Arabidopsis thaliana: one gene and its partners. The protein of the gene in region 3 interacts with the protein of the main gene of each other region in a biochemical or structural test. Each region holds a gene or a part of one and is shown on either strand. Other genes may lie near its edges.

Region 1 (9,570 bases), on a different chromosome or scaffold from region 3:
ATTTCCCAAACCTTCTGAACTAAAAAAAGGGATGGCAATGGAAGTAATCTCTGAAGGAGTGGTAATCCCCACAAAAGCTGCTGGTCCTAGTAATGTAACACTAAGTGATGAGGTTGTGACTGAGAAAGCAAAAGCTGAGACCACTGCAAGCAACACTGATGCAAATGTCCAGAGTCCTGAGTCCAAAGAAACTCCAGAGAATTCGGTGGAAACTATTGCAGAGCAAAAAGGAAAGTAGGAGAAGAAGACGAAGTCCAACCCTTCAAGCTCGAGTTCAAGCTCAAGCTCTAGTTCGAGTGACTCAGATTGAAAATTAAAGGGTAATACATCATCTCAAACTCAAGTAAATATATCTTTGTTAAAGGGTAATGATAGGCACTTCTGGGTTTTGTTTTTTTTCATCTGTGTCCTCTGTTTTAAAAGGGGCAAGAAGTAGCCGCTAATCATATTTTTATACCAAGTTTTCTCCTTCCTTTGTATTGGTTTTCTTGTGTGTTTGTGTTTCCTTTTCTCTTCTTTCTTCAGCTTTCATATTTATCGATTTGATTGATTTGTATCTCTTGAAACCAGAGAGGTTTTCTCAGGGTTTTGGATTGTGTCTTTAAATACTTTTCTCGCATCTTTTTTGGGGGGTTTGTTATTTGTATTGGACCTGAGAAATGGGAAAGGTACTGCCGTTTGGATTTTTCTATGAACATTGTAATATAATGGACTCGATCGAAGATGGTAACACCGTTCAGATTACAAATAGTTTTTGGTGGTTCATATTTAGTTGTAAATCTCTTATTAACATGAAGCATTGCCTCTCTTTTTTTTTTTGGTAAAAGATGAACTTGTGTTTGAGATTTTATGTAAATAAAGTATCCAAGTATATTCATATAAATCACCAACTTTTGATTCAAAGCATAATGTGTGTGTATACAGTTTTTATTGTTTCACATGTCTAAAAGCATGCCTTTCCATAGTTTAATCATAAAGTTTTATAAGCCAGCAATAAGAATACTTTTGGATCTTGTGATTCGTGTATCATATGATTACCAAACTCAAGATGCCAAAAAAGGTTGGTAAACAAGTATTTTATTGATCCAATAATTTGTTATACTAATACACATACGATTTAGTTCAATAATTCCTAAAGAAAAGTTTTTTTGTTTGTTTTTCATTTGGATTGTTAAAGTATTCAATTCTTTATGTCGTACAACAAGTAAATAGAAAGAAAAAAATAGAGTGCGAGTTTCACTTTCAATAAATGCTTGTGTGATTATCTTTATTTGTGTACATACTAGATCTACATCCACCGACAAACCAGTGTCGAGGAAGCATATGCAACTGTCCTGCAGATTTAAAGTCTCATGTAATTAAATGTTGTTCAATTTGTTTGTTGTGTGATTACCAGTTTGATGTATAGTTAAAGTTACCAAGTAATAAAATCATCAAACATACATATAGTACTAATTTTTTGTTTATCACATAAACATTTTGTTGACTTTTTGGTGTTGTTTGCAATAGCATCTTCTTGATAAATTCCTAGTGAACTCAAAATTGACCTACACCAGTTCCATACAAATAGAAAGATACTCCAAAACTAGTTGTGGAAGTGGTTGAATATAATTTTATATTCCAAACTTAGAAAATTCATGTTAAATTCCGCAAAAGAGCTTATAACGTAGTTTATGCACGATATGGTTAAACTTCCTCAGTTGCTATAGAGTTAAAAAAAAACAAATATTTTGAAATTGGTAACTAGTACGTGAAATTTTTTAATGCAGACTGAAAGAACAAAATAAAACTTAAAATATGTTTACAAAAAAATATTCTTTCATGATTTACGCAAACCAAAAGTTACATTTAAGGTTAGGAAAGAAAAAATGACCTAGGAAATTAAAACAATGAGGTTCGTTGATAAAGGTCAAGAATCAAAGTTTGGTAGCCAAATTACCAGCAAACAAAAAAAGATTAAGACCATTAATCCATCGCGTATACTCATTGTCTTATGAATCTTAAACAATAATATTATATTATATACAGTAGGTCCATAATTTATGTTTCTTTACCTACTCTATTTACCAAAAACATACATAGTTTTTATCTGACTTACACAAGTGTACTAATGGCCAGACAAGATTGTTACTTGTTCAAGTAAAATTGTGTTACCAGATATTCAACTTTCTATATATACATATAGATTTGACAACTATTCGACTTTCTATATTTAACTGAAAGAGTTGTATCACTGAAATTTGGAGTATTGTTCCCTGTAAATAATTCGATTTGTTTCCAAAACGCTATGGAACAGGCCTTGATTTTGATACTCTTTCGTGCTGACACTTGAAACGGCGTCGTATCAATAATAGAAGAAAACCTTACTGTGGAAATAATCAAATTGTGAATCTCCACCAACCTCAATGGGTCCCATTGCCACCCACTAATCTCCCCACGTACACCAACTCCCCTTCACGTTTTAATCTCTTAATATACTTTTATTATAAGTTAATTAAATGATTTCAACCTTAGTAATACTAACCATTAATTATTCATTTCTAATCTCCAATATTTTTTTTGAAAAACCTTTCTGTTCAGATATTTTCGTCAATTAATCAAGATCTCATTCATAAATTAAAAAAAAAAACAAAATTCAAGCTAAAAATACATACCCAACAAAAATTCCTTAAAAAAATTACTTATGGGGCATCTGGTAATTTAATTTTCCTATAAAAGATGGCAATATTAATTCAGTTTTTTTTTTTAATTTACCAATATGATACTTTAATTATATTTCTTACTTGTTAGCTCTACTAATGCACACATACTTATTTCTACGAATATAAGAAAAAAATACTGAACTCAAACAATAGACAAAAAAGAAATAATCCTACACTCAAGTGTGTTGAAAAATAACATCAAATTCAGAGAAAATGCACATACACCAATAATATAAATAAATAGGGATATTTAAAATAATAAATAAAATTGCGAAAATATCGAGCACCACCAGATCTACAGAAATGACACAGAGCCCAACGATGATGTATCTCGTTTATTTTCGCTATAAATAAACTCACACAGCCCACTCTTCTTCCTCGCTCTCTCTTTCGCCTTCTCTTAGCCTACCCTTTTTCCTTCCTCCTCTCCGATTCTTCCTCCGTCAGGTTCGTCTCCGACTTTCTATGTCTTCCTTACGTCTCTCTTATTTAGCTCCCTTTCCTTCCTTCTCCACGTTATTATTACTACTTCGCTTTTAGTGTGATTCGTTTCATTCTCGTTTTTTTATATTCCTCGATCTGTTTGCTCATTTGTTGAGATCTATTCGCTATGTGAGTTCATTTGACTCAGATCTGGATATTTCGTGTTGTTCGATTTATAGATCTGGTTTCTGGATCTGTTTACGATCTATCGTCATCTTTCCTTTGAAAATGATTGGTGTTTCTGTGTTCGTATTCGTTTAGATCTAAAGTTTTTGATCGATGAATGTCGCATGTGTTTTTATCTGAAAGTTTTCGATTACAGTATCAAGTGGTGGTAGTAGTAGTAGTAGACTCAAAAAGCTGCACAAACTTTTTATACACGTGAATTGTGATTGCTTTACGGTTTTCTTGGAGTTTGTTAATTAAATCATTTAATATTAAGAAGTTTATGAATTAAGAGAACGTTATTTTATACTATGATTTTGATTTTGATTTGGTTTGTGTGTTTTAATGCAGTAAAAGAAAATCAAAATGGCTTCACACATTGTTGGATACCCACGTATGGGCCCTAAGAGAGAGCTCAAGTTTGCATTGGAATCTTTCTGGGATGGTAAGAGCACTGCTGAGGATCTTCAGAAGGTGTCTGCTGATCTCAGGTCATCCATCTGGAAACAGATGTCTGCCGCTGGGACTAAGTTCATCCCTAGCAACACCTTTGCTCACTACGACCAGGTTCTTGACACCACCGCCATGCTCGGTGCTGTTCCACCTAGGTATGGATACACTGGTGGTGAGATCGGCCTTGATGTTTACTTCTCCATGGCTAGAGGAAATGCCTCTGTGCCTGCCATGGAAATGACCAAGTGGTTCGACACCAACTAGTGAGTCTTCATTGATCTCTTGTGTTCTTTTTGTTGACATTGGTCTTTTTGAGTTGTGGACTAATTTGATTATGCTTTTGTTGATGCAGCCATTACATCGTCCCTGAGTTGGGCCCTGAGGTTAACTTCTCTTACGCATCCCACAAGGCGGTGAATGAGTACAAGGAGGCCAAGGCTGTACGTATCATTCTTTACTAATATCCGTTTCTTAGGAAATTACTGTTTGCTCGTCTAATTAACTATTAGAGATCATAGGCTTTAGTTTGAGGATATAGTGTTTAAGCTTAGATTCATTGAGTGGTGTTTCACTGAGGATGCTAATATGCTAGGAAGGTCTCGGATGCATTGAATATAAAAACCGTTAGAAAAGTCATCTGGCACTGGTTGTCTAAAGTAGTTTTTTTTTCTACGAAGTTCTGATCTGGTTTACTTGATGTTTATGCAGCTTGGTGTTGACACCGTCCCTGTACTTGTTGGCCCAGTCTCTTACTTGCTGCTTTCCAAGGCTGCCAAGGGTGTTGACAAGTCATTCGAACTTCTTTCTCTTCTCCCTAAGATTCTCCCGATCTACAAGTAAGAAATCACTTTATTGTTTTTCTTTATTATGCCATCCGTATCCTTGATGTTATCAATGATCCTCTGACATACCACTGATATAATGACTTTGATTTGTGTACAGGGAAGTGATTACCGAGCTTAAGGCTGCTGGTGCCACCTGGATTCAGCTTGACGAGCCTGTCCTTGTTATGGATCTTGAGGGTCAGAAACTCCAGGCCTTTACTGGTGCCTATGCTGAACTTGAATCAACTCTTTCTGGTTTGAATGTTCTTGTCGAGACCTACTTCGCTGATATCCCTGCTGAGGCATACAAGACCCTAACCTCATTGAAGGGTGTGACTGCCTTTGGATTTGATTTGGTTCGTGGCACCAAGACCCTTGATTTGGTCAAGGCAGGTTTCCCTGAGGGAAAGTACCTCTTTGCTGGTGTTGTTGATGGAAGGAACATCTGGGCCAACGACTTTGCTGCGTCCCTAAGCACCTTGCAGGCACTTGAAGGCATTGTTGGTAAAGGTAATTGTTCTTCCAAAATCATCTGCCTTTTACCTGACATTACTAGGGAATTATTGAAAAACAACTGTATGAAATGTTGATCTGTTGTCTTTTTGATGCAGACAAGCTTGTGGTCTCAACCTCCTGCTCTCTTCTCCACACCGCTGTTGATCTTATCAATGAGACTAAGCTTGATGATGAAATCAAGTCATGGTTGGCGTTTGCTGCCCAGAAGGTCGTTGAAGTGAACGCTTTGGCCAAGGCTTTGGCTGGTCAGAAGGACGAGGTATTTTACCCACATGCTCCCCTAGTAGTGGACCCTTGAATTATCTGTAGTGTAATTGATCCAGAAAAATCTAGAACTCAATATTTTTTTTCTTTCAGGCTCTTTTCTCTGCCAATGCTGCGGCTTTGGCTTCAAGGAGATCTTCCCCAAGAGTCACCAACGAGGGTGTCCAGAAGGCTGTAAGTTTGATTTCAAACTGATGCACTGTGCTCACCCAATGGTTTATTTTCCTAATCTTGTATTGATTGAGATAGTTTCTCATTCTTGTTATCTCAGGCTGCTGCTTTGAAGGGATCTGACCACCGTCGTGCAACCAATGTTAGTGCTAGGCTAGATGCTCAGCAGAAGAAGCTCAATCTCCCAATCCTACCAACCACAACCATTGGATCCTTCCCACAGACTGTAGAGCTCAGGAGAGTTCGTCGTGAGTACAAGGCCAAAAAGTTAGTCTCCTAAATTTAATCCTTGGGCTTATGCGTCACACATTTTCTTAAATTGTTGTGATGCTAATGGTTTCTTTAATCTCTCTTTTACTAGGGTCTCAGAGGAGGACTACGTTAAAGCCATCAAGGAAGAGATCAAGAAAGTTGTTGACCTCCAAGAGGAACTTGACATCGATGTTCTTGTCCACGGAGAGCCAGAGGTGAATTTTTTTTATTATTCTATGTTTTTGCCTGATATTTCTAGTAATCCTTGGTACTGTTTCTGATGAGACATGTTTTCACAATTTTGTAGAGAAACGACATGGTTGAGTACTTTGGTGAGCAGTTGTCTGGTTTTGCCTTCACTGCAAACGGATGGGTCCAATCTTATGGATCTCGCTGTGTGAAGCCACCAGTTATCTATGGTGATGTGAGCCGTCCCAAGGCAATGACCGTCTTCTGGTCCGCAATGGCTCAGAGCATGACCTCTCGCCCAATGAAGGGTATGCTTACTGGTCCCGTCACCATTCTCAACTGGTCCTTTGTCAGGAACGACCAGCCCAGGTACATAATGTTACTATAATCTAAAAACAAACATAAACACCAAATAAAGAACAAAACACTAAGACAATCTTGGAATCATTGTAGGCACGAAACCTGTTACCAGATCGCTTTGGCCATCAAGGACGAAGTCGAGGATCTTGAGAAAGGTGGAATCGGTGTCATTCAGATTGATGAGGCTGCACTTAGAGAAGGACTACCACTCAGGAAATCCGAGCATGCTTTCTACTTGGACTGGGCCGTCCACTCCTTCAGAATCACCAACTGTGGAGTCCAAGACAGCACCCAGGTTTGCTTAAATAAAAACTACACATAACGAGTCTCATGTAGTGTAATGCTTTCTCAGTTGCTCATAACTTATGTGTTTCTGGTGTTTTTTTTTTGCAGATCCACACTCACATGTGCTACTCCCACTTCAATGACATCATACACTCCATCATCGACATGGATGCTGATGTCATCACCATTGAGAACTCCAGGTCTGATGAGAAGCTTCTTTCCGTGTTCCGTGAAGGAGTGAAGTACGGTGCTGGAATCGGTCCAGGAGTCTACGACATCCACTCTCCAAGAATACCATCTTCTGAGGAAATCGCAGACAGGGTCAACAAGATGCTTGCTGTCCTAGAGCAGAACATCCTTTGGGTTAACCCTGACTGTGGTCTCAAGACCCGTAAGTACACCGAGGTCAAGCCTGCACTCAAGAACATGGTTGATGCGGCTAAGCTCATCCGCTCCCAGCTCGCCAGTGCCAAGTGAAGAAAAGCTTGATTTGAACAAGGAAACGTTTTTTTTTCTCTAAAATGGTTGTGTTTTATTTGGTTTAATAACTTTCTTAAAAATATTTTTAGTCGAAGGTAGATTTGATGCATATGGTTTCTTTCTTGTTGAGAGAGAGAAAGGCTATAGCATCCTTTGGATTTGATGCAATGTTTGTGATTTTCTTTTTGTCTCCAATATATTTCTCTGATGGAATGTCTTTTTTCTAAAGTATCTTGAAAAGGAATAAGAGGATTGATTCTTATACAAATACTTTTGTTTGCGTTGTCCTAAACTCACTACTTTTTTTTATCCGACGCAATCAGTGCTTTGTAGCCTGTTCTTGAAGTAGGCCCCTTTGTATGTCTCTATCTGGCTCCTGTATCAGATTGTTGTTTCCCTTAGATTTCTTTATTTCGTTGGCAAAAAGAAAATCTGAATTGCCCCACAAAGAGCGTGGTGGCTGATGTTAGGTTGCAGTCTCATGGTCCACCACTTTAGACTCGAAGATTTATTTCGCTTGGAGAACATCTTCGTTGATGTTTATGTATCATTTGAACTGTAGACTGTAGCCAAGTAGAAGGTTTTAACTCTGTAAAATCTGAGATGTTGTATGTTCTCAAGTTTTATCTCAGTAATTCAAGTCTCTTTGAGTTCAAATAAGAAAAAGATTGTAGCTCGGTCTCGAAGAAAAGTTCTTGCTCATTTGCAGTTTTTAATATTATTTTTCTCTCTAAGATTGTGTGAAAATAACCTAGTTAGTAAACCAAATTCAATTAGTGTAAAAGAACCTCAACCTTTTAAGATCGTTTTCAGTAAATTTTTATTGAAGATGGTGAATGATAAAAATCTTACAAAGTAGAAACTTTAATTAAATTAGAAGATAGTGTGTACAACAAAAAGAGACTTCAAAATTGTTGGTGGCAACAACAGGATCACATGAGTAATCCTTCTGCATTGTTAAGTGCTTCTTTAGCTTTCCTGAATTTCCCATAGATTGCCTTGTTATTTTTCACAACATATTCCTTCACAAAGAACTTGATGCCATCTCGTAGAGCTTCATATTCCGGATTCAAGGCTATGCGTGTGAACAAGTTCCACACAAGATTCTCAGGGTGCTCAAAGATGGCCTCGAACAGCATTCGAAAGTGCATGATTCGTTTTGGAGTTAACTCCACTGGATTTGCTAAGTCAACGGATTTGAGAACAGCAAGAGAAAGATTGAAGGTTACAATAATCTCTGCCACGAATTTCGCCAGATGCATCGATCTCTGAAGTGACATCGACTCTAGTTCTTTAAAATGGTCCCAAATGCAATACTGCAGGAAAAAAAACACAAGAGATGATAAGAGAAAAAAGAATGGTTACATAACCATGGCTTCGGTTCTATTAGATAGTAAAAACGTACCTGCAGTGTAAACTTATGATTTTTGTCGTGCTCGCACAACTTTGAAGCAAGGACTGTGTAGAACTTGTTGAATGCTTTCTCCTGTAAACAGCATTCAACTAGAACCCTCATGATCTCTCTGTCCTGTTTTCCTGGCAAATCCAATCTAAGAAGTTTCTCGAATGCATCGATGTAGTCCTCACTACTCATGATCACACAAAATATTGCTTTTCTGGAATCTGTATTCATCCTCTGTGCCTCAGCTAGCTTTAACATTTTTTGGGCCTCAACAACCTCTGCATCCATTGTTTCTGCTATATCTTCAGCGGTGTTTGAGTCAACCACCAAATCGCCAGAAAGCCACCACTGACCCTTCTTCTCGGGGTCAAGCAGCTTGCTCCATGTAAGCCCTCTTAATAACACTTCTTCTACTCTCAACTGGGTAAATTATAAAAAAAACGGACAAAAACAAATGCATTTTAGTCAAAACTTACTAATCCAAAAGCCACCTAATAAGCAGAAGCATACATGTTTATAATTGTCATGATGGAATCCATTTTATAACATTTCGAGGAATAGAGCGCTAAAATATTACCTTTTGAAGCCACTTCTTTACCCTTGTGTTCTGGACGGAATCCTCTTTGGCTCTCAACTTGTTGTTCTTTATTGCGGAAATGGTTTCAAGCATCTTTTCCATCTGCAAATTCATTGAACAAACAACTTTAAAAAAATCATAGTATAACATTTTCTTCCCGAAGACAATTTTTCATAGAATTCATACCATCATGTTATTCATTTGTGTCTGGCCATCGGAGGAGGTTTTCAATTCATTTGCCTTGTTCTGGATGCTGATGATGAATGTTTTCATAGCCAGAGGATCATCACTTCTTATTTTCATTCCACAGCCTATTCAGAGCATTATCAAGAACTGAGAGACGGAACATAAACATCTCAAAACACCTAAAGCAGCTATCGAAAGATAATAATGATAATAATAAAACTTACAATCTAAAACAGTGGTGATAGTGAAAGCATCAACTTT
Region 2 (6,509 bases), on a different chromosome or scaffold from region 3:
CCGTGAACAACAACAACGATCTACAAAAGTCGGAAGAGAAACAAAAGTTTGATCAACTCCCTCTGGACCTAGAGATCGAGATGTTTAGGAGGCTGCCTTTAAAATCTGTAGCTAGGTTTCTCACACTATCCAAGTCATGTGCAACAACTATCCGCAGTCCAAGTTTCATCACATCATTCCCGTCGCAGCCTTGTACCCTAATCGCTTCCGCCGCTACAATCAGGACTTGCCACAACTTGCCTTCCAGCTTTAAATCTAAGGACCAAAGGTTGTACTTCTTCTCATCGTCTTCTTCATCATCAACTGTCTTTTCTACGCGTTTGACATGTCCGTTGTCCCCATATGATAATCTGATAGAGTACTATTATCATTATGCTAGTGGTTTGATAAGCATTGGATGTAATCGAAAGCAAATCGTAACTAACCCCAGCACTGGTAGATTCATAACTTTACCAAGTGTCAGAAGAAGAAGAGTGGTCGTGAAAAGTTTTTTCGGGTATGATCCAGTTAGTGATCAATACAAAGTCTCGTGCATGACGGAAAGACGTCATGGCCTTCGACAAGACCCATCATCTGAACATCAAGTGTTCACATTGGGAGAAAAAAAGCCATGGAAAATGATAGATTGTACTAGCATTCCTGATCACCGTCCTTGGTCTAACGGTGTGTGCATAGATGGTTTTGTGTATTACGTTGCTAAAACTGGACAAGGTATGTCACAACTGAGCTTAATGAGATATGCTCTGAGGGCTGACAATTTGAATCTTTTTACTAGTTTACCTGAAGAGCTTCGAACTCTAAAACTATCTGGTGACACTTTATTGAACTATGAAGGGAATGTAGCATGGCCACTCCAGTTACATCTTATATTTAATGTGTGGGTTATGGATCAGGATGGCGAAAAACATGAATGGTTGAAGAAAATAACTTTCAATATTGAACCTTGGAAGAGTTCATCTCGCTATCTAGACGTTAGAGGCACTACTCATACGGGTGAGTTTATTCTTGCACCATCGCACTATCCTGATGATGAGTTTTATGTCTTCCATTACAATCTCGGCAAGAATAGCTTTACAAAGAAGAAACTTCAAGTTCGTATTTACAATGTTAGAATTGTGTCTACGTCTTCAATAATTGGTCTCTATCTCTCCTTCTCTCTCTTGTAGTCATCTTCTCTCCATACCTCTGGAATATATCAGCCAAATCAAACAAACTCACTTCTCTAAGTTTCTTAGCCATCTCTTCAAACATAACCACACCTTCCTCATTAGAATAATAATGCAAGAACTTGCTATAATCAAACCTAGGAACTTCAAGCCCTCTCTTCAACGTTCTCTCAATATACTTTGTAGTTTCCAACCGTTTCCCCGCCTTGATCATACCTCCAACGAATATCGTATCGAAATTCACTAACGGGTCCGGCCCTTTCCTTCCCCTTCTCCCCAAATGTCCTTGCAACAACATAAGATACGTATGCATTATTGGCTCGCACCCTCTCTGTATCATCTTCCTGAAAACCTCTGTTGCTTCGCTTGCCCGTTTAATCTTCACCAACCCTTTTATCAACCCATGATAGATACTAATATCCGGATTCTCAACCCCTTCCACCAACCCATAAGCCTCTACAACTCTTCGTTTAACCAACAGTCCATAGATTAACGACGCCCAAGTTAAGTTATCCACATAAACACCTCTCTCACGCATTTCATCGAACACCTTACGTGCCATATCAATCCTACCGTTTTTACACAACCAATCAATCATCACCCTGTAGAAACCCCCATCCAAATCACCACCTCTTTTCGAAACCATAACATAAAACACCTTAGAAGCTTCATCAAACTGATTCTTCTTCAGAAGTGTTTCCATAATCTTTTTACCAGCTTCGATATCAACATCAAATCCTTCATCCATCATCAAATTCCAAAGCTTAGCAGCTTCAATCAAATCACCAACATCACAAAACCCTTGTATCATCGTCCTATAAGTAATCTCATCAGGTTTAATAAACTCCTTCAGCTTAATAAAAACAAACTTAGCTTCTTCAACAAGCTTCTCCTTACACAGAGTCTCCACTCCTCTATTCATCGTTTCCACATTATACAAATACCCAAAACCGTTCATCAAATGGAAATAGTTTACACATTTCTTCAACTCTCTAGCAGAAGCAAGTGTTTTCAACACAATCCGAAATGTCTTATCGTTAACCAATCCACGTTTTCCGATCTCTTGAGCTAATTCCCAGAAAAGATCCATGTTTCTTGAGTTCCCGATGATTGCTAGCATCTTATTAGAGGTAGTGGAAGTGTGGGTGAAATCAGGGTGGTGAGTTTGAGAATAGAGGAAGAAACGGTGTACAGGACGCCACGAGAGTGGGAAATTGTTGCAGACTTGGAGGAAGAACTCGTGAGTTAGTTGAAATTTGGTGGAGGAGAGTTTAGAGACGAGACGTGAATCAGGTGAGTTCTGTTGCTGGTAGAGAATTGTACAGACTCGGAGAAGATGGTCTTGGTTTATCGGTGTGATTGTGGTTGGAGTTAGCTCGGTGGAGAAGAAGCGGTGGTTGAGAATGAAGCATCGCCGAATTGAGTTTCCGATGTTAATCATCCTCCGAGAAGTCACGACGGCCACAGCCATAAGTTTCCCGGCCAATGGAGAAAACAAAAGACAAGAACTAAATTAAATAAAAAAAATTAGGGTAAAATTATAAGAGGCTACAAAGAAGCCCATCTAAGCCTATGTCTAAAAATGAGTGGGAAAATGGAGATGCGGGGGATCGAACCCCGTGCCTCTCGCATGCAAAGCGAGCGCTCTACCATTTGAGCTACATCCCCGTTGATGTTTAAATACGTAACCAAAAACATATATAGGATTAGATAAAACGGTGTCGTTAGGGAGCGAAAAGTTCGTTAAGTTAGTTAGAAAGAATAGCGAGGAAAAACCCAGGAATTTCGCAGACACAGAGGTGTGTTCGGATCTCAAGGTTGAGATTCAGTCTTCTTCCGCCATTTGCGAACCATCTTCGAAACTCTTTTTATATTTCTCTCTTTCCCTCCCATCTCTTTCGATTATTTTATTTATCTCACCAAGGAAAACAAAACACAAAACAAACAAACAAACAAACCCATAAATCAAGATCTCTGTTTTCAGACAGATTATTATCGGAACAAAATGTCATCATCAGGATCCGACAAAGAGAGAGAGACTTTTGTCTATATGGCTAAGCTCTCCGAACAAGCCGAGCGATACGACGGTAACATAATCTCTTTATTATTTTCGATTTTAATTGCGAGAATTTATAGAAAGGATTTGGTAATGAATGTGCAGAGATGGTGGAGACGATGAAGAAAGTGGCGAGGGTTAATAGCGAGCTGACTGTGGAAGAGAGGAATCTGTTGTCGGTTGGTTACAAGAACGTGATCGGAGCAAGAAGAGCTTCGTGGAGGATAATGTCGTCCATCGAGCAGAAAGAAGAGTCTAAAGGCAATGAATCAAACGTGAAACAAATCAAGGGTTATCGCCAAAAGGTAGAAGATGAGCTCGCTAACATTTGCCAAGACATTCTCACCATCATTGATCAGCATCTCATCCCTCACGCTACCTCAGGGGAAGCTACCGTCTTCTACTACAAGATGTGATAACAGAAAAACACTCTTCTTTTTGAATCATCATCTGCAAATGAAACTCAATTTGATCTGGAATTTGTAGGAAAGGAGATTATTACCGTTACTTGGCTGAGTTTAAGACCGAGCAAGAGAGGAAGGAAGCTGCTGAACAGTCTCTCAAAGGCTATGAGGTATTAAATTTGTTTCTTTAGTCAAATACTAGAGAATTATGAGAAGTTTGGTCTGATGCATCTGTATTTTGATTAGGCTGCAACACAAGCTGCAAGCACTGAGCTTCCTTCGACCCATCCAATTCGTCTTGGCCTTGCTCTTAACTTCTCTGTTTTCTACTATGAGATCATGAACTCTCCTGAAAGGTTTCAATCTAAAACATCAATAAATAAATATACCAATAGAGTGTCAACTTTGTTGTAATGTGGTTTCTATTAAACTGTTGCAGAGCTTGCCATTTGGCTAAGCAAGCCTTCGATGAGGCGATTGCAGAGTTAGATACTCTAAGTGAGGAGTCGTACAAGGACAGCACTTTGATCATGCAGCTCCTGAGAGACAACCTCACCCTCTGGACTTCTGATCTTCCTGAAGATGGAGGTTTGTCTGAAAATCACACAGCACACATGATGTCTCAGAATGTTTGAGCTTATAAGCAGTGGTTTTGTTATGATTTCAGGAGAAGACAACATCAAGACTGAAGAATCCAAGCAAGAACAGGCCAAGCCTGCCGATGCCACTGAGGTAGTAATTCACTTTAAAATGAGGTGTATGAATAGTTCTTGTTGGGTCTAAAGGCTCACTCTTTTGTTTGTTCGTTTCAGAACTGATCAAAGGGCTTGGAAGTTGAATGAGATTTAGATTCGATGTCCAGAAGGGGGAGGCAAATTCCTTTAAATTCCATAGCTTGGTTTCATCAGGAAGATGAGATCAGAGACAATTGAATTCAATCCTATATTGTTTCTTTTTTGTATTACTTTTCGTCTTCTTTATTTTGTTCTCAATTTTCATGTCATCAAGTATTTTATGTTACGCAATTTTATTATGATTTGATCAGCATATGCTTTTGCTATCATACATTCCCATCAGATCAATCAAATGTGTATCAAAAATTGCCAAACAAACACAACCCTGGCTCTAAATGCAAACATGAAAAGAGCGAAAACCGCAAAAAGCTTGTTATGATTATTAACTCTCTGGACAGAGTAACAAAAAGATTATTCATTGATCCTGATGGTTTTATTGACATTAAAACTTCAGAATATATAGAAAAAAGCTTATCATAAGAGCTGAAGACAAAACCTAACCATATACAAAAAGATGGGAGAAGATGAATGAAAAGAAAACATCTTTTCTTCTTCCTCTGTCATTCTTCTTCCTTATCAAAGAAACTCTGCGGCAAGGTAAAGTCTTCCTCGTGATTCAGAATGTCTATGTCCTCATCATCTGATTTCTAAGAAACAAAACAGAGGTAACAGATTAATAAAACCATCACCACAACTCTAAACAATGCCATGAAGTGAAACTAAAGCTATGGGACCAAAATAACAATCAATGCTTGTTGTAATTACTACTCACCAGCATCTCAATGTTGTAAAAACGATCGAGTAGCTGCAGAACCTCATCCGCAGTGAACGGTCGGTCAAAGCTATGTACAGGAATAGTTTGATAGAAAGACTCAATCAATAAGGATCAGAGACTCATGTATGTATTGGAAGTATGAAAGAAACTCTGAGAACAACAAACCTTCTTCCGAGATACTCCATCAGACCATAAAGAACAAAGTGGCGATGTATCCCTGCACACCATCATGATCCCATTAGCAGAAGAAATCAAGAAACCAACAAACTGATCAATGTGCAAGAACAATAGACATTGAAATGATTGCATTTGATAATGGTTTCTGATAACTATCATGATACAAAAGTAAACATTGGCAGAAGCATATAGAACGTAGCTAAAGGATCAAGATTTGAGAAGTGAAACTTGCCTCGGAGTTTAACAGGAGGATAGATTTCAAGGGCTTCTAATAACCTTAGCTCTAATTCAACCTGTGACTGCTCCTGAGAAGCAAATCCAATAAAAGAGGAACCTTTAAAATCTCAGGAACAGAAATGGTAGAGAGATAGAGAGAAAGAGAGAGAGAGACCTTGGAGAGAGAGGAGGCGGAGGAAGGTAAAGCTTTACAGGGAGAGTGTACGGACAAACCATCTTGCTCTTCCTCTTTCTCTTTACCTCCTCCGCCACTTTCGTCCGTTCTTCCACCCATTTTTTAGGGTTTTGTGGCTTTGATCCCAAATGTGTTGAAAACTTCTCATAAGCTGTTTGTGATTTGTGTATATATACAGGAGTGCTTGTTTGATCTCTGAACTGGGCCGGCCCATATTTAAGGCCTTGTCTTTGTGCTTTCATCCCACACACAATGATTATTTTAAAATCTAATTCTTTTTCTGCACTCATTTTAAAATCTAATGTTATTGAATGTTATTTTTTGCACTCATTTTAAGGGGTTTTAGATAATTTTGTTTAGTTAAATATACAAAATTATAAATCTCATGGCTTTAACTTTTTTAAGTGAGATTTGGGAGATTTTACAACAAATAACATTTTTCCTAAAGTCATCCAAAAACATAAAATCATTTTAAAACTAAAATCAATTAATATAGGGTTGAATTTAACTCTTTAGATTCAAAGAAGATAAAAGTCAAAATATTCCAAAGGTTTTGACATTATTGGTCAATGCAAAAGCATCTTCCTAAGACTATCGATCCTAAGAAAGTAAGAACCCAACTCTATTGGTTTCCGAAAAAGAAAAAAAGAAGCCAAGTAATGTATTGGATAAAAATCAGATTAAGAGACTCGGAAGAATAAAATGAAGCAATATACATCAATGAA
Region 3 (7,072 bases):
CATTCTCAGAGATTAGAGACAGTGTCAAGAATAGTTATGGCCATGTCAAGCGGAGGAATCGAAGAGCTTGGAACATTTCTTGTAATGTGTGTGTGTATTTTTTTGCCTACACGTGTACATGTGGAGGTGGAGCGACTCTACTTGCGTCGTCATCGAGACATCGACTATAGCAAAAGGACGTTACTTTAGTTTATAATCTGAGGTCAGTGTGGGCTAAAACGACGTCAGTTTGTGAGTTTGTACATTTTTCCAATAGTTGCTGTAGTTAGAAACCATTTTTATGCACTCGGTGAAATAAGAAATCCATTTTTGTCCGGTGGTCTTTTAATAGAGCTCAAGGCCGTCATTTTTACTGTATTTCATTTAAACTGTTTAACAGACAAAGACCAAGAATACCAAACTTCAAAACGAAAATGCCGAATCAATGTGACGAGACAGCGTAAAAAGCATGAGGAAGGGTTCTGATATACACATGACCCATAACCAAAAGTATGTACAAAAGGGAAAGAAAAATTCAGCCTTCAAAACTTAGCAAATGGTTTTTCTTCCAACTCCGGAGAGGTAAGACTAGACCTAAACCCGGCTCTAATTCTTGAATTTTTCCAGATCAGAACCTGAAACACTACAAATCTCGTAATGCAACCTTCTTGCTTCTACGATATCAATAATATTACCACTACGATCGTTAGCTATTCGATTTGGAAGAGATATCAGGAATAGATGCACAAGACGCAGCCTTGTGCTGGATGCTTTTCATGCTCAGCTCCATGCTTCTATGAACCATGTCCTGCAGCAGTTTCTTAGCCGTTTCAGCAGCTTTTTCTGCCCCGTCGACTTGTACTGCAATGCCATAGACAATTTTCTCTAGTGTTAATGGAGTCATTTCTTTCTCACGAGGGGTTTCTCTCAGTAGGTCCAAGAGAACTCTGGCTCTATCTCGGGACTTTGATGTTCCATCTACTGTTGAACTTAGGAGACCCGGGATTGCACCTTCTTTCAGTATGAGTTTTCGGTACTTATCTCGGTCGCTGCGGCATAGAGAAAGCAGAGCTCCAACTGCGTGTTCTATGCTGAGTGGAGAACCATCCTCTACAGTCTCTACTAAAGTCAGAATACCATCTTCACAGCTGGTGATGGCATTTCGCCCGTCCTCAGAGTGAGACAGGATCATCTCAACCAAGGCTGTGGCTTTTTCAGCAAACTTGGAATGTTTTTTGCATTCTTTAAGGAGGTGGATGAGCGGGTAGACAGCTTTAGCATCAAGAATTGGAGCAGAGTACTCTTTGCAAGCTGATAAATTATGAAGGGCTGTGACAGCATCTACTTTCCCTTGTACAGTTCCGGAGCTAAGCATCTGAATCAGAAGCGGTGGAACTCCAGAACTTATAATCATCGCCTTGTTGGCTGGTGCAGCTGAAAGTGTTAGAATTGCTGCAGTGGCCAATTCACGCAAACTAGCATTGTGGAGCTTCAGAATCTGTATGAGAGGTGGAACGGCACCGGCTTTCACAATCTCAATCTTATTCCTGGTCAGAAATCACAACCCAAAATAAGTAATGACCACCACAAGAACTGAAAATGCAAATCTATTTCCACACAGATTACAAAGGATCTGTAGAAAATACTGCTGGAGCAAGTAGGTAAATTACATCCTACATTTGCTATCTTTATCCAAATAGCAGTAAACTACAGGTAAAGCTAGACCTAGAGCAATCAGATCAGTGTCCAAAAAGCAGTATCCTCTTGGTTTCAACAGATCTAAAGTCCAAAATGTAGCTACTCTCAGTACATTCTGATGCCTGATTGATAGAGTTAAACAATTGCCTTAACACTAAAACTACAAATCCAGAACAATGTCATAAATCAAGCTCTGAGCAGAGATTAGTGAAGTCACTAATCCTAAACACTGCCTAAAGCCTCAGATCGAGTTAAATTAGACCTAGAAGACAAGACGAGAGAATCAGTTTCTGGTACATGGCAATAAAACCTAGAACAATCCAAGAGAGATTACCGTTCATTTCTAACGGCGAGGTTAAGGAGAGCGAGGAGAGAGGCGTGACGAGCATCAACGTTAGAGGAGAAGAGCATGGGAACAAGCGGCGGGATAACGCCGGCGTCGGCGAGTTTTGACCTAGCGGAAGACTTAACCGGAGACTTTCTAAGCAGCTTTCGGATTTCCTTAGCGGCTTCAATTCGGAAATCGAGATCTCCATGGAGAAGCTTCTTGGAGAGATGTAGAATCAGTAATTCCTTTGTGGTTTTCCATGTGTTGGTGGTGGTTTCCTCCTCTGCTTCGTCTTCTTCCGATATATTTGCCGTCACCGTTGAGTCGCCGGCGATGGAAGCCATCATCTGATTCTGGTTCTCTTCCACCACCATTATCTCTGTCTCTCTCGCTCGCTTGCTCGCTCTTGTGTTTGTTTCTCTCTAGTCAAAGACGAAACGACGACTTATCGAATCATCTACTTAATTAAAACGAAAGTTATGGTATTAGTTGAAAGAGCCCATATTTCTCGAGGTTAGTTAGTTCACAATTTACCAACCGGGACATTTCAATATTTTAACTTTTTCAATTTTATGCAAGGAAAGAATATAAGAAAGAATTAGCTAGAAAAATTATTTTCAAAATTAACAACAAATCCCGAATATTTATATAACTATTTAAAAGTATAATTAGGTTGTTCGTTTGATCGCCGCATCTATTTGCGACAGCAGCAACCATGATGATATTCGTTTGGTGGACGCAAGACGATGTGGTCAAACGTTAAGGCAAACGCAAGTAGCTGCGGTTAAAAATTGTTGACATCATTTTACTTCAACAATATGCGGTAGAGTTTGCTGCTGCCGTTAGGCGTAATGAAACAAATAGACTAACACAAAGAATAAACGACTACAATTTATAATTTTTCATTTATAAAATAAAATAAAAATTGGAATATATTGTGCGGAATTCCTATATATCAGAACTCATTGATCTGCTGCTTCTTCTGAAAGTTCTTAAGTGGTTCCACGATGTTTCCATTTTGTTCTGACTTCCGAGGCCAACGAGATGAGTCCAATAAACAAAGGGCACGGAAACATTCTTTTTAAATTAGGTTTGTTTTTTTATTTTTGGTTTTTGGTTTTTCCCGGAAATTGTATGAAGTCTTCGTTACAGTTTCTCTCTCTCACCTTCTCTGTATAAAGTCTTCTTGAGATCGAAGGATAACTTCAATTCAATTCTCTCCAAGGTACACACAGGTACAGTTTTCTCCTTCATTCTCTCTTGTTTGAGATTTCTGAAGATGGGTTTGTTAAAAAAGTGTACTTTTTTTTGTTCTCTCTCGTGTAGCTGATTTTTGTGATAAGAAGATTGATTGAGATGGGTACTAGAGCTCAGCAGATTCCTTTACTTGAAGGTGAGACTGATAATTACGATGGTGTTACTGTAACCATGGTGGAACCTATGGATTCTGAGGTTTTTACTGAAAGTCTTAGGGCTTCTCTTTCGCATTGGAGAGAAGAGGTATTAACAATATATATAACTCAGATTCAAGCCTTATTGTTTGATTGTACTGATAACTGATAAACTTCTGAGATATGATATGAGCTCTTAAGAGTTTAGAGGATTGTGATAACATGAGGACTTAGTCAGAGTTTATGATTTGCAGGGGAAGAAGGGAATTTGGATAAAGCTGCCTCTTGGATTGGCTAATCTTGTGGAGGCTGCAGTTAGTGTAAGTTTTATATGAGGATTTGGATTGACGTTAGTTATTGTGATGATTAGTTGAATATCTTCTTGTGTTTGGTGATTTTTTCAGGAAGGATTTAGATATCACCACGCGGAGCCTGAGTACTTGATGCTTGTATCTTGGATCTCTGAAACTCCTGATACAATCCCAGCCAATGCTTCTCATGTTGTAGGTGCTGGTGCTTTGGTCATCAACAAAAATACTAAAGAGGTAGCCAACTGTTCTCTTCTTTGCATAGTTTCGCATACGTTGCTTAACAAATAATGATAATTCAATGAGCAGGTCCTCGTTGTCCAGGAGAGGAGTGGGTTTTTCAAAGATAAAAATGTGTGGAAGCTGCCTACTGGTGTTATCAACGAGGTGATTTTTACATAAGATTGTTTTTGTGATCTTTTACTATCCCGTTAAATATTTACAATCACGGTGAATGACATGAAGAGTTAAATGCTAAAAAGAGGCAATCTTGATGAACGAAGCTCCTAGGATCCTATACCTTATTGTCCTGTGAATGAAAACGAGTGAACTACTAGTAAGGGTTTGGCTTATGAAGGGTGTCAGCGTATTGTTTAGGGGAGTATATTCTAGGAGTTGGTAGTGCTGAGAGTTGTTGGTGAATTGCATAAGAAAGTAGTTCTTACATCTTACAGATCCATCAAGTGTTTACTGATAATCTGTAATGATACCAAGAATGAAACTAAGAGAATGGTGGATATGAAGTTTTGATTGTTGTTGTCTTTTGCTTCTAACTAAAACATTCCAATGCCACAGGGCGAGGATATATGGACTGGAGTAGCTAGGGAAGTGGAAGAAGAAACTGGAGTAAGTATCTGGCTTTCAAAAATTAAGCATTTCAATCATAAGGATCTCTTACTTGACATTCTAATCTAAAATTTGTGTTCTTCTCTTGGCTTTTCTCTTCAGATTATTGCAGATTTTGTCGAAGTACTGGCTTTCAGGTAACTTAAATTTTATTGCTGTAGACACATTGATCTGGCTTAAACGCATTTGTTCCTCATTGTTCAACTCTTTACACTCTCAGGCAAAGCCACAAAGCCATCTTAAAAAAGAAAACAGATATGTTTTTCCTGTGTGTCTTAAGTCCGCGCTCTTACGATATTACTGAACAAAAATCTGAGATCTTGCAAGCTAAGGTAAACCTTTCTAACTTTCAGTGTTGATGAGCCAAGAAAATGTTAAAAGTTACTGACATATATTTCAAATTTAACCGAAACTGGTATATTGTATTACAGTGGATGCCGATCCAAGAGTATGTAGACCAACCATGGAACAAGAAGAACGAGATGTTCAAGTTCATGGCTAACATTTGCCAAAAGAAGTGTGAGGAAGAATACTTGGGATTCGCCATTGTGCCAACTACCACATCATCTGGTAAAGAGAGCTTTATCTACTGCAATGCGGATCATGCCAAGCGCCTTAAAGTATCGCGTGACCAAGCCTCTGCTTCTCTCTGAAAACATTCTCATCTGATTCTGTTTGATCTCGGCATGTGTGTGTCCAGTGTGTACAAAACAGGAAACTTTCTTCTATATTATTCCGATTCTACAAAATTGCGTCTAAATATTTAAGTTTATACCATCTCTATGAGCCACTGTAAAACTTGCCATCGACTTCTAGTCTATTTCCAGTGATGGTTTGATTCTCCCAACGCTTACGTGCTTTTTAAAGATATGAGGCTTAAGAGTGTTACCATACACTTGGTTTATTCTTCCAAAATATCTTCTCGTAACCGGTTTTAAGTTCTCAGCTGTATCGTCTCTTGACCATTTACTACACTGGTAAATGGTGTGAATCCAAGAAAGTGTTAATGCCATTAAAAAGGTTCACATTACTTTGTATATGTACACCAATTTTTGCGACTCGTTTGTACTGTGTGCCTAACGTGAAAAAGATAAGGCATATATGGGCTTTAGCCCCAAAAAAACTTTATAGGCCCCATATTAAAATTATAGTGTATTTATTTTTCCAGAAATAGAAAATTTATTGTAACATGGAAACATCAAAATTTAAAATGGAATAGTTGCTAAAAATACTTGGGTTCACCCTTCACCCCCTTATATTCACCTCTTCTATTTTAATCAATTAAAATCTGACATTTAACAATAATAAAAAGAATTTAATTTTATTATAAAATCTAATTTGCCACTAAAACGAAATTATGTATCGGTTTGGATTTATTAGAAAAGGTTAGGGTTTAGATTTTATGATTAAACGAGGTTAAATATCGGTTTGGGTTTAGAAAGTACGATTAGGGTTTAGATTTTACAATTAACCAATTAAATATTGGTTTAGGTTTATAAACAGATTTAGATTTTACAATTAAACGAGGTTAAATGTCGGTTTGGGTTTTGAAAATACGATTAGGGTTTAGTTTTTTCTTACGATTAAATGAGTTTAAATGAAGGTTTGGGTTTACAAAGGAGAATTAGGGTTTAGATTTTGTAATTAAACGAGATTATATATCGGTTTAGATTTATAATTATAGCTTTAATTTATTATGTAATTTAAGTAAGATTTGACATGACATGTTTTTATTGGTTAATGCAAAAGGAGGTGAATAGAAGGGTGAATAAAGCTTCGTTCAATAGTTGTGGCATTAAATGTTTTGAAGTTTTGCACATTACTTAAAGCAATAAAATGTCTATTTTAGTATCCTTCAAAATAATTACATTTGTTATAAAATAATTACATTTCTTACAAGTAGGTACTAACAAAATCAATTTTTATCTCACACTAAATTTCTTAAATACATCCGATTTTTATTTAATAAGTTAAATCATGATTGTTTTTTTTAATTACACCTAAACCGCAATTTGTAAACCGGATTAGAGATTAACTAAACTTACATGTCCAAAACACTATTAATTATGGATTGATGGAACAAGAAAGATCTAGTATATCTAATAAGAATATCACCACATTAGGTAGGAGCTGATAATACAATTTTTGTTGGAGATGCCCAACCTAGAGATAGAAAAACATTTAATCCCTCTTAAAGCCCTTATTACTATGTGCAATGCAACACATATGGTTAAAAGATATTACGACATTATAATCGGAAGTTTGAACTAACACTCATTTTATCTCGTATTATAATCTTTGTCCCTATTCTGATTTCCTCTGTAATTGAAAGTATACTATATTTCATATTAGTGTAGTTACGATGGAGCATCATCATGGGTCAAATCCAAGCGACCACAAAGGATGTAACATGCATCTTACAGCTCACAGCCTCACACTATTTCGACTACCACCGACACTATCTTTATAGATACACGTGATTCCAACGTACCAATCACTCTTTTGAATGATCATCACATTTT
Region 4 (6,446 bases), on a different chromosome or scaffold from region 3:
AAACGAACTAGTGCCGCTTCTATGAGGCTCTCATTTTTGCCCAGGTGGATCTTTTATATTCCCTTTTTTTGCGTAATCAAATTTTTCTTATTTCACATCCCAAAACTCACGTGTCAGGTTTAACGTAAATACGACGTCGGTTAGCTAATATAAGGCCATAATGAAAGCCCAACTAATGGGCCTTAGTTACCCTTGTGTATGATTGTTGGAAGGCCCATATTCACTATTGTGAGCAATATTTATTTTGTACAACAATTGGAAAAGCCTTTGTAAAAAGACACTAGATTTTCAACCGCGGGGACTAATTATATTTTAAAGTTAATATATATAAAAGTTTGTAATTTGTAACTATCTATGTAACTTTCTATAAAATATTTTTATTTTATAGTTTAGAATTGTTATTAAGTAACGTCCTGCCAAACCCGTCCCGCCAACCCGTCCCGTAAAAAAAACTCATTTATTTTATTAATGTTGATCTTATTTATCATATGTTTATGAATCATTGTCTAAATATTTTGTAATTTTGTAGTAATTAAATGCTATCAAATATCTCTGCGGTTTGATGATTATAATTGAATTGTAATAGTCATGCAGAAAAACAATATCAATAATGATAATTTTGTAGTAATTAAATGATATTAAATATTTTGAAAGTTTTATTTTAGTAACCAATCGTGTAGTTAATGTAGAGAGATTTTAGGAAAATTGTTAAATGTCAAATATTTAATTCGAAGATTTTTTTCTAATTATCAAAAACAAATATTAATCTAGTGGCAACCATTGTAAATAAATCCCAACTACAGGATTTATTTCATAAAATGGCTGCAAAAATGTATATATAGATAGATGTGTATAAAAAACAGAAGAATTTGCTTGTAATTTTTATTTTATTTTTTTAACACACCCTTATAATTTTCAAAAGTTTGTATCTTTTACATAATTTCTTTCAGTTAAAGAAAGTTAAAAGTTGAATGCAAAAAACACAAAAGCACTAATGAGACTAAGTTCTTTTCTGTAGGAAATCTACCCATAGATTCTTTTTGGGGTTATTATCATCTGTTATATCCATCCTTCAATCTTGACCGCACAATGTTATCTTCTTGTTTTGTATGTTCCCGATAGACCGATACTTTGGAATTTTAATCCAAAAAAGAAATTGAATGTTGCAATCAGATTTAAGAATGACAAAAGAAGGAGTGGGGTTACACAAAAGCCAATGAGGAGGCATGTGACGTTTTTATGTAAAAGGGAATCTAATAGCTAAACAATGTCAGTCCATTTCCCTAAAGTCCTTTTCATTACCACCCCCACCCATTCTATTTTCTTTATTTTGAATTTGGTATGATGATATTTTCATCATTTCATTTCATGTACTAATCAAGCTCCATATTCCATATGAATAAATGTTACTTTAATAGCAAAAATCGTTATCAGACTCGTCTATTCATTAGTTGCGTGTCCACTCTCTTATTATATTCTTATTCAATTGAATTTTTCCAATCTAAAGTAGGTTAGAAAAAGATTGGCAAGATTTGTTTCATGATTAACAATTTAAATAAATAAATTAATTAAATTAACAGACTAAAAAGAGTGAATTAGAAAAATAACTAGAAAAAAGTAAGTTCTTGAGTAGTAATGAAAGTGACAATTGCTAGTAAATAAGTGGTTTATGAAATCATATATATGAAGTGACAATTGCTGTAAATATGTGATTTAATAGCTTTTCATTAAATATCACAACAAAAAATCTGTGAAATGAATCAATAGCTATTAAATCACAAAAGTAAAAAAATCTGTGAAATGAATCAATAATCCTAACTATTAATGGGTTTAAGAAAAGTCCTCGAAATGAATACCATCTTTGACTCCCTCTTTCTTTCTCATTAGGGCTACAGATTTTTGTCTTTAAAAAGCCATTCAAGTTTCAATGGTTTTTCACTTTTGTTCTCCTCCTCCCTTTTTTTCTTTTCAGGATTCTTCTTTTCTATGTTTTATCTTTCATAATAGATCTGATAATTTTGATTTTTCACTATATATATTATGGTTAATACTAGTAGCTTTTTCATTTCAAGTTTTATCCTTCCATTGGTTCTTTCTGAGTCAAATTGTCTCCTGTTTCGAACCATATATAAGTTTTCAATGGTTTTGTATTAACTCAAGTATTCAACATTATGTCTCTCTTTTTCTTGCTTGGATCTCTAATGCTGTTCATATTTTAAAGCATAGGTTTAGGTTAGATGCATGTAACTGCCAATTAAAAGAAGGTCAAGAGTTTTTTGATTGTATGAATATATGAGTTAGTCAAAGCAGATCCACACGATTATATAGAAAAACAAAGGAAGAAGAAGAGGAAGAGCTCCTTGAAGTTCAATGGAGGGTTTAGCAGGGTGAAGTAAAGCTGCTAAGCTATGGATCCCATAAGCCTTATCAAATTCAATATAATTGATGATAAGGTTTTTTTTATGGATGCCATATCTCAGGAGCTTTCACTTACCCCTTTAATGGCTTCACTCTTCTTTGGATTGAAGGGAGCTCTTCATCTCTCCATCCCTATCTCTCTCTCTCTCTATCTTTAGTTCTTTTAAGAATGACTTTTCATTTTTTGTGTTGTCTGTTGCAGGTGTATAAACATGGATGATGGATCTTGAGTAGGATTTTTTATTTTATTTTCTTGTGACATATATGCAATTTTTATGGTTTGTACTTTGTATTTCCATTAGTTTCGTACTTTTCAGTTATGTATCATTGTTAATTCTAATGTTTGAAGACATTTAGAGTTTATACTTCTCTAAATTACTTTTTCGACTCAATAAAGTCGTTTAAGTGTCTACAAGTATATACCGTGTTAATACTTTTCAATTCATATCCACCATTGTATAAAGATATGATCCGCTTTTATTTAAGTGAATCAATTAATTTACAGTATTCCTCTATATCTCTCTCACACTGTTCGAATAAATTTAATACTCAACAGATCTAGTTTGAACTTTTTAAATAAGTTTAGCCGAAGAAAATTATCATTGTTGAACAAACTTATTAAATTCGGATTGGCTTATTTGATGCATCCAGATTGCAAAACTATATTTTTGAATACAGCTGGAAATGTTTTTAAAGTGTAAAACAACGGTATATATATAAGTCAAACTGGTTTTTTTTGTAGATTTCTCTCCCTTTAGCAAGTTTTATTGCTTTCCTATAATCCATAATATTTACATCCAAAACAGCAATTATATAAGATTTTCTGCTATTTCAATACGATGTTATACTATTTCGGCAGATGTACGTACTACATTACATCTAACCAATCCAGATTGATAACTATATTTGATGTAATCTCGAATTAGTCAATCTCTGTACCACATATAAGAAATTTTGCTTTTTTCACAAAAGAGTTGTTAGAAATTTGACCTATACAAAAATAATGACCACGATAAATGAGTATATACATGTACGTAAGATAAATGTAAAGTTGTATATTTGTGCGCCATTCATGATTCATTCCACGTATATATTGTTTGTTCGAATCAAAGCAAACTCAGAAAATGAAAACGCTGAATGACGATAAAAATAGGGACGCTTTTGTTCGAATTAGCGTGCCCATTATGTCACGAACGTAGATTCAAGTCTTGGCCATAAAACAGGATTCCTTATAGCATCCACCAAAACACGAGAAATCATTCTCAAAAACAGTCTCTCCAAATCCGAACTAAACAACTCATAGCCCATATAATAAGGTCTGTAGTGGGATGCGTTTTTGGCTTTTAGAACATACCAATTGGAGAACACGCTTTCTTACACATGGAAACAAATTACGAACGCTTCCACCAAATATGGGCTGAGATAAGCCCATTAACATAAGACCCAGTAATAAATATATAATATGAGCCCATATTAAATGAACCCTAATCCATTTTTAGTTTCTATCATATAAATAGCTTCTTGTGTTTTTCACGCCCTTCTTCTTTGTATTTCCGCCTCCCCCGAGAAAACGAAAACCCTAGTTTCAGAGGCATCTCCAGACACCGAAAATGGCGGAAGGACTCGTTTTGAAGGGCACCATGCGTGCACACACTGACATGGTGACGGCAATCGCCACCCCAATCGATAACGCAGACATCATCGTCTCAGCTTCCCGCGACAAATCCATCATTTTGTGGAAACTCACCAAGGACGACAAAGCCTACGGTGTAGCTCAGAGGCGTCTCACTGGTCACTCTCACTTCGTTGAGGATGTTGTTCTCTCCTCCGATGGACAATTCGCGCTTTCCGGCAGCTGGGACGGCGAGCTCCGTCTTTGGGATCTTGCTGCTGGTGTCTCCACTCGTAGATTCGTTGGACACACCAAGGACGTGCTCTCCGTCGCCTTCTCACTCGACAACCGTCAGATCGTCTCTGCATCTCGTGACCGTACGATCAAGCTGTGGAACACTCTTGGTGAGTGCAAGTACACCATTTCAGAAGGTGGTGAGGGACACCGTGATTGGGTTAGCTGCGTCAGATTCAGCCCTAACACGCTTCAGCCGACGATTGTATCTGCTTCGTGGGACAAGACCGTGAAAGTGTGGAACCTTTCGAACTGCAAGCTCAGATCGACTCTTGCTGGTCACACCGGTTACGTGAGCACTGTGGCTGTATCACCTGATGGTTCTCTTTGTGCAAGTGGAGGCAAAGACGGTGTTGTTTTGCTGTGGGATTTGGCTGAGGGGAAGAAGCTTTACTCTCTTGAAGCTAACTCTGTGATCCATGCTCTTTGCTTCAGTCCCAACAGGTACTGGCTCTGTGCTGCAACTGAACATGGTATTAAGATTTGGGACCTTGAGAGCAAGAGCATTGTTGAGGATTTGAAGGTTGATCTCAAGGCTGAGGCTGAAAAGGCTGACAACAGTGGTCCTGCTGCCACCAAGAGGAAGGTACACAAATATTTTCCCATGATGGTTCAATCATATGCTTTTAATCGATTACAAGTTTTCAGCTTTTGTATAGGAAGAATTTTCTGTAGTTGGTTATGATGTTGATTATGACTTGTGATTAAGTATTACCCATAGCTGAGTATATCATAATTCGTAATGTTGGTCTGTTATTGAAAATGTGAAAGTTCGTAAAAAGTTTCTTACATGGATTATTCTATTCAAATGCTACACGATGATATATGTAAATGGTCTTCTACACTTGGTTTCAGTTTCAGATTCTGCAATTATGTTTGCTTGAATTACCATTCCGTTTGGAGACTTAGGCTCTCTATCTTCTTTATCTGTTTTAATCTTCCATATATAGCAATTACCATAATTGTGTTTTCGCCCCAGTTTGAGCCTAAATTGTCAATTAAGGTTGTCTTTTAATGGTTTTGTGTGTCCATACTCATTGATTACCTGACATTTCTTGTTAGGATCATAGTAGTAGTAATATTTTTCTCCTGATACATAGCCCTTTGTTTGTTGTGTAATAGTACATGTAAATAACCATGGAAAGTGACTGAATTCAATTTGTTTGTTGATTGGGTCAGGTTATTTACTGCACAAGCCTTAACTGGAGCGCTGATGGAAGCACCCTCTTCAGTGGTTACACCGATGGAGTCATTAGAGTTTGGGGTATTGGTCGTTACTAGTAATCTCATCACTTGTGCTGTCGTTGCTCTCTGCTATCTGCTTGTTGGTTTTATCTATCACTTATGTTTTTATCGACAACTCATGAAGTACCTTGAGGTTTTTGGAAGGATGTTTGTTTTCTTGTCAATCTAGGTTTTTGCTTCTTTATCTTATCGTTCGAGATCTTGGTTTTTAGAGTTACTTCTCCCATTTTGTGGCAAATGATTCCCATTAATAATATAGCGAAATGGTGGAATAGCGGAATTCTCTAAAATTTGTAACTTTATCCAATATGACAGATGAACCAAATGATTTTTAACATGTAATAAACTACTGATTTGCAACGAACTAAGAAGGTTATAGACATGAACATACTATCTTTGGAAATGGACATGAACTGCCGCTATTACTGCTGCTTCCTTCGACCAACGAAATTTCGCCACATAGACTGGTAAAGTCGAACAGCCGCTATTACTGCTGATGTGGCATCTGTCGTATTTTAATCACTCCCGCCATTGCCTTTTCGCGCTAAGTTTTTTTTTTTACTTATGCTTTTTTACTCTAGACTGGAAAAACAAAACAAAAAAGGCTATAAAAAGAAAAATAAAGAAGACAAATTCGCAAGAACCCTAAAAAGAAGAAGATAAGAAATCGGAAATGGGCATCAAGGACCTTCTCAGATTCATGAAACCTTATATCCTTCCCATTCACATCCAGAAATACGCCGGGAAACGAGTAATTTTCTCCGACTTGTTTTCTTAATGTTCTCCATTTCCTTCTCGATTTTAGTTTCCGTTAATCGTTCTGGGTAAATCTCCATTAAAAATCAAGTTTTTAAATGATGGGCTTACACATTTTTGT

The links.
Region 1: the proteins of NUDT7 (region 3) and ATMS1 form a complex in vitro, tested with the Arabidopsis thaliana proteins (one study listed by BioGRID).
Region 2: the proteins of NUDT7 (region 3) and GRF12 form a complex in vitro, tested with the Arabidopsis thaliana proteins (one study listed by BioGRID).
Region 4: the proteins of NUDT7 (region 3) and ATARCA form a complex in vitro, tested with the Arabidopsis thaliana proteins (one study listed by BioGRID).

Annotation. Positions count from the first base shown.
Region 1 is NC_003076.8:5,932,055-5,941,624, forward strand, and holds ATMS1 (Cobalamin-independent synthase family protein), read left to right. Parts: upstream 1-2,983; 5' UTR 2,984-3,149; exon of another isoform or gene 3,150-3,314; intron 3,315-3,701; 5' UTR 3,702-3,716; coding exon 3,717-4,066; intron 4,067-4,155; coding exon 4,156-4,243; intron 4,244-4,511; coding exon 4,512-4,639; intron 4,640-4,745; coding exon 4,746-5,137; intron 5,138-5,238; coding exon 5,239-5,402; intron 5,403-5,500; coding exon 5,501-5,581; intron 5,582-5,678; coding exon 5,679-5,845; intron 5,846-5,939; coding exon 5,940-6,045; intron 6,046-6,137; coding exon 6,138-6,388; intron 6,389-6,472; coding exon 6,473-6,674; intron 6,675-6,772; coding exon 6,773-7,141; 3' UTR 7,142-7,811; downstream 7,812-9,570. Other genes in the region: AT5G17910 (cardiomyopathy-associated protein), read left to right, coding at 1-238; AT5G17930 (MIF4G domain-containing protein / MA3 domain-containing protein), read right to left, coding at 8,077-8,460, 8,550-8,966, 9,124-9,225, 9,310-9,434, 9,534-9,570.
Region 2 is NC_003070.9:9,154,508-9,161,016, reverse strand, and holds GRF12 (general regulatory factor 12), read left to right. Parts: upstream 1-2,923; 5' UTR 2,924-3,171; coding exon 3,172-3,253; intron 3,254-3,327; coding exon 3,328-3,634; intron 3,635-3,708; coding exon 3,709-3,796; intron 3,797-3,872; coding exon 3,873-3,982; intron 3,983-4,065; coding exon 4,066-4,214; intron 4,215-4,293; coding exon 4,294-4,358; intron 4,359-4,438; coding exon 4,439-4,444; 3' UTR 4,445-4,738; downstream 4,739-6,509. Other genes in the region: AT1G26510 (F-box associated ubiquitination effector family protein), read left to right, coding at 1-1,166; AT1G26500 (Pentatricopeptide repeat (PPR) superfamily protein), read right to left, coding at 1,120-2,637; AT1G26470 (chromatin modification-like protein), read right to left, coding at 4,981-5,067, 5,193-5,262, 5,361-5,412, 5,605-5,677, 5,764-5,883. UniProt on the Arabidopsis thaliana protein: Is associated with a DNA binding complex that binds to the G box, a well-characterized cis-acting DNA regulatory element found in plant genes.
Region 3 is NC_003075.7:7,484,355-7,491,426, forward strand, and holds NUDT7 (MutT/nudix family protein), read left to right. Parts: upstream 1-2,946; 5' UTR 2,947-3,240; intron 3,241-3,331; 5' UTR 3,332-3,361; coding exon 3,362-3,505; intron 3,506-3,563; exon of another isoform or gene 3,564-3,650; coding exon 3,651-3,716; intron 3,717-3,800; coding exon 3,801-3,941; intron 3,942-4,013; coding exon 4,014-4,091; intron 4,092-4,316; coding exon 4,317-4,436; intron 4,437-4,499; coding exon 4,500-4,550; intron 4,551-4,652; coding exon 4,653-4,687; intron 4,688-4,770; coding exon 4,771-4,882; coding exon of another isoform or gene 4,883-4,909; exon of another isoform or gene 4,910-4,981; coding exon 4,982-5,203; 3' UTR 5,204-5,301; downstream 5,302-7,072. Other genes in the region: AT4G12710 (ARM repeat superfamily protein), read right to left, coding at 686-1,526, 2,012-2,379. UniProt on the Arabidopsis thaliana protein: Mediates the hydrolysis of some nucleoside diphosphate derivatives. Can use both NADH and ADP-ribose as substrates, but not 8-oxo-dGTP, cyclic ADP-ribose, GDP-mannose, UDP-glucose, ATP, or GTP. Exerts negative control of EDS1 signaling.
Region 4 is NC_003070.9:6,218,297-6,224,742, forward strand, and holds ATARCA (Transducin/WD40 repeat-like superfamily protein), read left to right. Parts: upstream 1-3,904; 5' UTR 3,905-4,028; coding exon 4,029-4,910; intron 4,911-5,503; coding exon 5,504-5,605; 3' UTR 5,606-5,946; downstream 5,947-6,446. Other genes in the region: AT1G18090 (5'-3' exonuclease family protein), read left to right, coding at 6,243-6,320. UniProt on the Arabidopsis thaliana protein: Major component of the RACK1 regulatory proteins that play a role in multiple signal transduction pathways. Involved in multiple hormone responses and developmental processes.